Linked DNA regions of Danio rerio. The protein of the gene in region 1 binds, or shares a complex with, the protein of each later gene. Links are inferred from orthologs where the notes say so. Each region holds a gene or a part of one and is shown in the gene's direction. Other genes may lie near its edges.

Region 1 (3,826 bases):
TTACAATTCTTTTCCTCATGTAAATACTAGCAACTATACTAACTGGCTAATTGACTTGTTACTAAACCGATGTAGTAACCTGATATGAATAATTACTTTCCTAGGTAGGTGGATACTGTAAAATGAAGTGAATTCGTGTAATAATAATAATAATAATAATAATAATAATAATAATAATAATAATAATAATAATACTTTCTGTTGTTTTAAGATTATTTATTAGAAAATGAGCCTAAATCCAAAACAACAAGGTCTAAAGTCTTGCTTAAAAAACTGAGCTAAGTTGTAGTGATATTTCAGAAGTGAGGGTATTGATGGCTTGGACAGACAAACAAAGGCCACGTTTTCCCCTCATAATGGCTCTATGCCGCTGTATATTTATTTTCATGCAAGTGGAGGAGGTTGTTTAATTGCTCTTATATAATGGCTGAAATTGGGTCTACACATGCCATGATGAGGTTTTACTGTAGCACATTACAGGGCTGTTAGTGTTTTACTTTAAAACATGTTCATCACAAAGCAAACACTGTGGATAGGTCGAAAACACGCTTATCTTCTACATGCAGTATAATAAAATGATCACATATAGATGTCAAAAGATTGGGATGATAAAGGTTGGGTTGGTCAAGGTAATATCAGTGTGGATTGTTGAGCGTCAGATCAAAGGTGCGCAAATGTGTAGCTGATGTTTTAATAATTCGATGTTCTTCAGGAATTAAGGAGAAACTGAGTCATTTCGAGTACCTGAACATTAAGGCGATCTGGATCAGTCCTTTCTACAAGTCTCCTATGAGGGACTTTGGATACGATGTGGAGGATTTCAGAGACGTTGACCCTCTTTTTGGAACAATGGAAGACTTTGATGACCTCTTGACTAGCATGCATGATAAAGGTGAATGTGCATTAATGTAAATAATGATAAATACCTATATTTCCATCCAAAGATGTGCAAAACTGGAATATTGCATAAAGCGTTTGTGAATAAAGCACTGTTTCCATCCAATGAGTCAAAGAGAACAAAATGATAACTTCCTGATTAAGTTTCTCCAAGTATCAAAATAGTTTTAGTTTAAACTTTATTGTCCGTCCTGCTTGACAGAAAGGAAATCTGTCTTTAAAACTGGATTAAAGGCAACAATTACAAACATACAACAACCACACATTAACAACACTCATCAAGACAACAACATAAGTTAAAAGTATAAAAACCAAATTAGCCCCATACAAACTACTGCAGATCATTCTCTGCAACCACCACATTCACTTCAAACAATGATCCGATTTAAAACACTGCCATTGGGATGCCTTTTTATAAGCATGACTTTTTCTAAGCATTTCTTCGTGCTTTAGGAATTCTAAACCTGCGTCCTGAGGGTAACAATTCAAATGCTGAGTGAAGGGGATGTGTAGTATCTTTAAAAATCACAACTGCTGTTTTTTCCGTAAAGGAGTCAAACAAAATCTGCAATGAATGTTGTTTGTGACCAGTTATCTTATTTGCCTGATTGATAATTTGCAATAATTTTTTCTTCCGTTTAAGTGTTGTAAAGATAAATATTTTACATTTAGTCATTTAGCAGACGCTTTTATCTAAAGCGACTTACAAATGAGGACAAGGAAGCAATTTACACAACTATAAGAGCAACAATGAATAAGTGCTGTAGGCAAGCTTCAGGTATGTAAAGTGTAAGAAGCAAAACCATTAGTAATTTTTTTTTTGTTTTGTAGTACAGTTAGCGGTGGAGCCAGAGAGGGAATTGCAGATTAGGAAGGGAAGTAGAGACTAAATAGTTGAGTTTTTAGTCGTTTCTTGAAGACAGCAAGTGACTCTGCCATTCCGATGCAGTTAGGGAGTTCATTCCACCAACTGGGCAAATTGAATGCGAGAGTTCGGGAAAGTGATTTCTTCCCTCTTTGGGATGGAACCACGAGGCGACGTTTATTCACAGAACTAAAGTTTCTGGAGGGCACATAGATCTGCAGAAGTGAGAGCAGATAAGGAGCAAAGCCAGAAGTCGCTATGTAAGCAAACGTCAGAGCTTTGAATTTGATGCGAGCAGCAACTGGCAGCCAGTGCAAACGGATGAGTAGCGGAGTGTTTTTATTTGTGTTGTAAAAATAAAGATTTTATTTGCTGAATAGTAGGGGGTGTAACGGATTGAGTATAAGTGCACAATTAAAATATCAGGATCTCAATTCAAACACCCACGCAACATAAATTATAAATAATCTGCATATGTCTATTAGTCCTTCCATGTGCTGCGTTCAAATCTGCATTTGATCGAGAGAGATTTAATTTGTACACTTTTCAGGTAGTTACAAAGTTACAAACAATCAAATAACACAGAGGTACGGGGATAACAGTTTATTAATAAAACATAACACAGATAAAAGATTAAAATTAAAGCTAAAGATTCAAATCCCAGTTTAATGCAACTTGACGCTGTTGAAAGTTGTGGCAATTACATTGTTTATCCAATAGGTGGCGACAAACAACTATCAAAAAATTGTCACTGATTTTTTTTCCTCTGCCCATAATTATATTAGAGCTTTGTTTCTTCCGATGTCCATATTAAACCCCTTTCCACTAATCTTGGAATTGTCTTTCGAGACGCATCAACCAAATTATACATTTTAAACAGAACCGTACCAGAGTTCGCACAAACCGTACCTACCCCAGACCATCTCTTTCAGGGGGACTCCTGTACGGTTCACGGTTCATGGGTGCACACCCAAGCTCAGAAGACACGTTCACACTAGCTAAACGTACTGTATATGACGTCAAACGAACTCGGGTGCGAACAAAAAGTGCTAATGTTAATGCTAATGTTAAGTCATGTTTACCTTTTTTTATTCAGCTGGTTATTTCTTTAATTTTATTTTTAGTAAAGTGACAGATTTTAAGTTCTGTTTGTTAAAACCAAAAGTTTCTTGCATTACTGTTTTTGTAATAAATTACATCTGTCTCCTTTTTTTTTTTTTTTTTTTGCTGATCCAAAAAAGGATCCGATCCGTGACTCAAAAAACAGTGTGATCCGATCTATGAGATTTGGGATCTGTTACACCACTACTAGACAGAAGAAGCCACTGTGGGAATTTTTTTTCTATATAATCCGCTTGTTAAGTGTGACGTCACGCGAAGCGGCTTCCAGGGCTAAGCGCTCGACTAATGAAATGGTAATAGTAATGAAATGGCCAGAAAGTGACAAATTTTATTTATAAATTGTTAAATTTTTGGTATTTGTTATGCAGTAAGCCCAGAGATTGTTGTGTACATTACGATTTTATTTATTTTAAAATTAAGTTTAATGTGTATTAGGAATAAAACGTTATCATAAACGAATGATTTCTCCACTCAAATGAATGGCGGCTTGGACCCGGAAACAGATTACATACGTCACAAACACGTCACCACTTAACAAGCGGATAAACTACTTGCGGCTCAGATGAAGGCGGCGAAATCTATTGAATGCACTGAGGGTTTTGAAGTGTCGAGACTACTCTTTGGGAGAGTTCTGGGGAGTTATTATACCAAACCACTTTGACATAGTACTTTGGCTAAGGGATTTTACAATGACCAAATCAGCATTTGACCAGTCTGGTGGTTTGTCCATTATTGGCATCTTGTCCTGCCAATATTTGTTAATTCATAATCTGAAAACGAAGTCACAGGACTTCTGATGCGCATGCTGGAGTTTAATCTGTAAATGTGTTTCCATCTTAGTAGATCAGTGGTTGTACGCCTGCTTTTTTTGAGAGGGGTCTGGATGCAGACTTGATGCAAGTCAATCTGACCTGCGTCCAGTGCTTTTTAATATGCTCATCT
Region 2 (4,314 bases), on another chromosome or scaffold:
AAAATAGTCCGATTAAGCTTTCACCGGAAGTTTATCATTGGCTTTAAAACTCTAGCTGTGCATAGAGCCCATTTGATTTACACTTACATGCTTCCATCAGCAAAGTGGTCAAGGTTATTTACAAACCATTATGAAAGAAATAGCAGCCATTATTATTTTAATTGTGGAATATTACAGCTTTTATTGTAAATGGTTTGCCATAAACTTCATCATTTTTATGTAATTTGTGTGATCTTATAATCAACAACATTAATGCTTTGCTACAACAATCAATGATCAAATCCATTTCTGATGGACAAATTAAATTCCTGCACTACATTTTTTGCTCAAGAAGTCTGCATTTAGTTAGACATTACAAATGGGGACAAAAGGCTATTGCATCTTGTAGTTTGCACCAACTTTAATATTGAAATCTTATTCTGAATACAAAGCATGTTTTCCAACAAAGGGAAATGCACAAGGCCACTTTCTCTTTTAGAAGAGATTTTTTATTTCAGCCGCTTGTTAAGTGTGATGTCACGCGAAGCAGCTTCCGGGTCCAATGAAAACTGAAAAACGCTCTGTGAAACTGAATAAGGAGACTCAACAAATGGTAATAATAAACATTTACAAAGAGCTGTAATACTTTCAAAAATCACACACATCCATCATACATCCAAGCCTAATATGGCCAGAAAGTGATACATTTTTCATAAATTGTAAAATTATTGGTGTCTGTGATGCAGCAAGCCCAGAGACTGTTGTGTACACCATGATTTTATATAAAATTCACTTTAATAATTGATATGACTAAAAAGTGGTCATAAACAAATACTTTCTCAATTCAATTGAGTAATGGAATGGAGTCAGAAACAGTATTACATATGTCAGGACTTAATAATCGGATTAGTAGTAGTAGTATTTATTTATTTTTATTTTTATTTTTTGCACTTATTAGAATAGTAATTCTCCTGAAGAATAAGGAGAGAGAAAAATTGAAATAGGATCTAAAAAGGTTCTCAAGCCCGGACTCGAACTTGGCCCACCCGATGCTCAATGACACTATTTGTTGGCACACTGGCCACAAGGATATATCAGTGTAGACTGTTTTGTTGTTTTTAAGGTATTGGGCTGACAAATAAATAGTTTTCTGTTCTCATGTTTTCTGGAGCTTATTTGTTTTTAAGCAGCATCTTTATAAAAACTCTGATACAAGGTTCTCCTAAAGAGAGGCATTTTAATCCCATAGGTAAACAGTAATTCCCAAGCAAATCAGCTGTGGTCAGGACAAATCTACAGAGATACAGCAATTTAACAAGACTGACGCTATTGCAATACACCTAATCGATTAAAAAAAAAAAAAGCCTGTCTGACTATTGCAGCATAATTAGGACAGTCCAATAGTTCTCTCCATAATAGCACAGCACTGATTTAGAGCAAAATTATAATCCAGCAATCACTATGCACAGTGTTGTAGCAGTGCGTCTCAGAACTGCAGTCTGTGTGCATGTGTACAAGCTCACTGCAGAAATAGAGCACTGCTGGTTAGCTGTAGGGTATAGATGATAAATTTCATAGATTAGCAGTGGTGTAATATTTCAGCTGATTGTTAACCGTTTATTGATTCATTGCTGTGCTTTAGCTATGTCTTCGTTTGCTTTGTTGATTTTATTTTACTGACTGGCTGTTTTTAATGTGGTGCATGTGTGTTTGTTTTAATATACATCAGTTATGTGAATATGTTTATGTGATGTGAATGTTTACTGATAGAGTAGCCCAGTGAACTGGAGAGTTGGAAGAAACATGCAGTGCCTTTGCTTTGTTATAAATCAGGATAAAAATGTAGGACGACTGTCTGCAAAAAGATACAACTTATCACAGGTAAGAGGAAGAAGGCATTATGTGTGTGTAAGAGAGAGCGTGTGTGTGTGTTTGTATGCTTATGAAAATGTGAAGCACATCTCTGCAAGTCCAGGTCACTTGTTCTCTTTCACAGGCCCAGTGGACTGAGGTTTTGACAGCAGAGGAAAATGACAAGGACATCTTATAACGTTACTGCACCTTGAGTTCCCTCGAAGCCAATGAGCAACACACACATGTTTTTACAGCTATCTTTGGGGGACTTGTCTTTTTATTGTTTTTATTCTGGCCTAACACTATTTTCCATTTTCTAAACATATACTAGCTATGCCTTGCAGGAATATTTTTGCATTAAGTAATCAAATTATGTATTGTTTTGTGTCATAATAATATTTATTTTTTTCAAGTTTGGTGTAAGGTATTGGTTTTACTCAGGAGGGAACATTTGGTCCTGACAACAGAAGTTAATCGATAATACACTCATGTACATACACTACCTGAGAAAAGTCTTGTCGTTGATATCAATTGTAAGAGCAACAAATAATAACTTGATTTCTAGTTGATTGTTTGAAAAAGTTGCAGGTCAATTTTCAATGAATCATCTGTTGAATTGCATCCCAATCATCACAAATACTGCAGAAGACCGATTTTTAAACCCACATGGAGCCAAGATCCTCATAGAAATCAGTCATGTTTGGTGAAGGAAAAATCATGGTTTGGGGTTACATTCAGTATGGGGGCATGCGAGAGATCTTCAGAGTGATGGCAACATCAACCACCTGAGGTATCAAAACATTTGTGCCGCCCATTATATCACAAACCACAGGAGAGGGCAAATTCTTCAGCAGGATAGCACTCCTTATAATACTTCAGCCTCCATATCAGAAATCCTGAAAGTAAAAAAGGTCAAGGTGCTCCAGGATTGGCCAGCCCAGTCATCAGGAATGAACATTATTGAGCATGTCTGGAGTAAGATGAAGGTAGAGGCATTGAAGATGAATCCAAAGAATCTTGATGAACTCTGAGAGTCCTGCAGGAACGCTTTCTTTGCCATTCCAGATGACTTTATTAATAAGATATTTGAGTCATTGCAGAGATGTATGGCTGCAGTCCTCCAAGCTCATGGGAGTCATACACAATATTAAATCTTCTTCCACTGCACCATGAGTTTATACTGTACATTATTTCTGTTGAGTGACAAGACTTTTGTCAAAGCAAAGTCAGACCTTACTGTCCTAATTAAATAATTAAAGGCATAATCATATTTTAGTTAGGTAAAATAAGTGTAATCTAAAGGCCTTTGCCTTTCATATAAGCCACTCCTGATACCAAATTATCATCTAGAAGTCAAGTTATTATTTGTTTTTTTTTAAAATTAGATGGGGGACAAGACTTTTGTCAGGTAATGTATACCTCTCCAGCAGTCTTATTCTTCATTCTGTGAATTGATTCATAGTACTCTCACTCCTTCACTTAGTGCAGCAATTAGTCATCAGTTTTAAAAATAGACATGTTTAGTTGTTTTTATAAGGCCTTTATTTAATTATATAGAGTTTCTTGTTTAACTGTGCTGTCTTAAAGCAAAGTAAGGCAACAAAAGTGATGCGTATTATAAAGACAGAATTTAGCCTAGTCATTATTGACTTTGGCCTGTTCAATCAGTGGAACAAACAGAAAATGTGAAAAGTAGTGCTGCCCTCTACTGGACATTACTATTAAGTATTGGATTAAAGCATCACACTGTTTAATACATAAATGAAAAAAGGCCATAGAATTAAAAAATTGTTCTGATGAATTTGCACTCTCAGAAATACAAAATGCAGTCACTGGAAGTATTTTTTTTTTTTCACCTAAAGGGTCTATTTTAGTTTCTACTGTAAAAAATAAATAAATAAATGTACCTTTTGAAAAAGTACCACCATTGTACTAAGAGTGTGTGACAGATTTTGTGACAGGCCATCAAAATCTCAGTATGAAGTAAAAGTCACAGTGTACATTTAAACACTGCAGATTTACAGCTGCTACTTAACAGTTAAAGCCGATGATGGAGGAAAAGCTTGTTAAAGCTGTCCTCTGGGATGGTCTAGAGTTATAGTTTGCTCCTTATCTAGGTTAACATCTCAGTGTAAGGTCAGCAGAGTCATTTTCAAGTGCTCAATCACACTATTGTTGTGCTCTTGTGATTGGAGACTGCAGTGGCAGCCTTTCATTGAACAAATATAAAACAAAAAGTAGTACACTTTGAGTAGTATTAGCTAGCTGTATTATAAGTAATATGTCAGTGCAGATTCATTTTTAAACAGTACATTCGTGGTTTATCCATCCATAAAAACCATAGTAATCATCCACTGATTAGTCTGTCTGGACTGTAATAAATATAAAATGCAATTATCTTTCATATAATGCCTTTGACTAATTTTTAACGACTGCTCCAACAGATTATGTTTGTTTTTGTTTTCTATCAAGTGAATTCTG

The links.
Region 2: the proteins of slc3a1 (region 1) and slc7a9 are in contact, whole or in part, in a cryo-EM structure (PDB 6LID), measured with the Homo sapiens proteins. The link is inferred for Danio rerio from reciprocal best matches to the Homo sapiens genes SLC3A1 and SLC7A9. Residues at the interface, in NP_000332.2 of Homo sapiens: Pro64, Tyr65, Ala66, Gly67, Met68, Pro69, Lys70, Leu73, Phe74, Phe76, Ser77, Tyr82, Pro85, Arg86, Phe90, Thr93, Val97, Leu100, Ile101, Ala103, Thr104, Ile107, Ile108, Ser111, Cys114, His201, Asp202, Thr373, Glu374, Pro375; in NP_001119807.1 of Homo sapiens: Cys137, Phe140, Tyr141, Val142, Gly143, Cys144, Pro147, Ile149, Val150, Cys153, Leu154, Ala156, Ala157, Leu160, Phe161, Thr164, Leu168, Thr279, Thr281, Asp295, Arg296, Tyr299, Tyr343, Val346, Arg347, Lys467, Thr470, Met471, His472, Gln474.

The regions. Positions count from the first base shown.
Region 1 is NC_133188.1:11,097,661-11,101,486, reverse strand, and holds part of slc3a1 (amino acid transporter heavy chain SLC3A1), read left to right. Parts: intron 1-712; coding exon 713-892; intron 893-3,826. UniProt on the Homo sapiens protein: Acts as a chaperone that facilitates biogenesis and trafficking of functional transporter heteromers to the plasma membrane.
Region 2 is NC_133182.1:38,718,141-38,722,454, forward strand, and holds the start of slc7a9 (B(0,+)-type amino acid transporter 1), read left to right. Parts: upstream 1-1,269; 5' UTR 1,270-1,860; intron 1,861-3,201; exon of another isoform or gene 3,202-3,241; intron 3,242-4,270; exon of another isoform or gene 4,271-4,314. UniProt on the Homo sapiens protein: Associates with SLC3A1 to form a functional transporter complex that mediates the electrogenic exchange between cationic amino acids and neutral amino acids, with a stoichiometry of 1:1.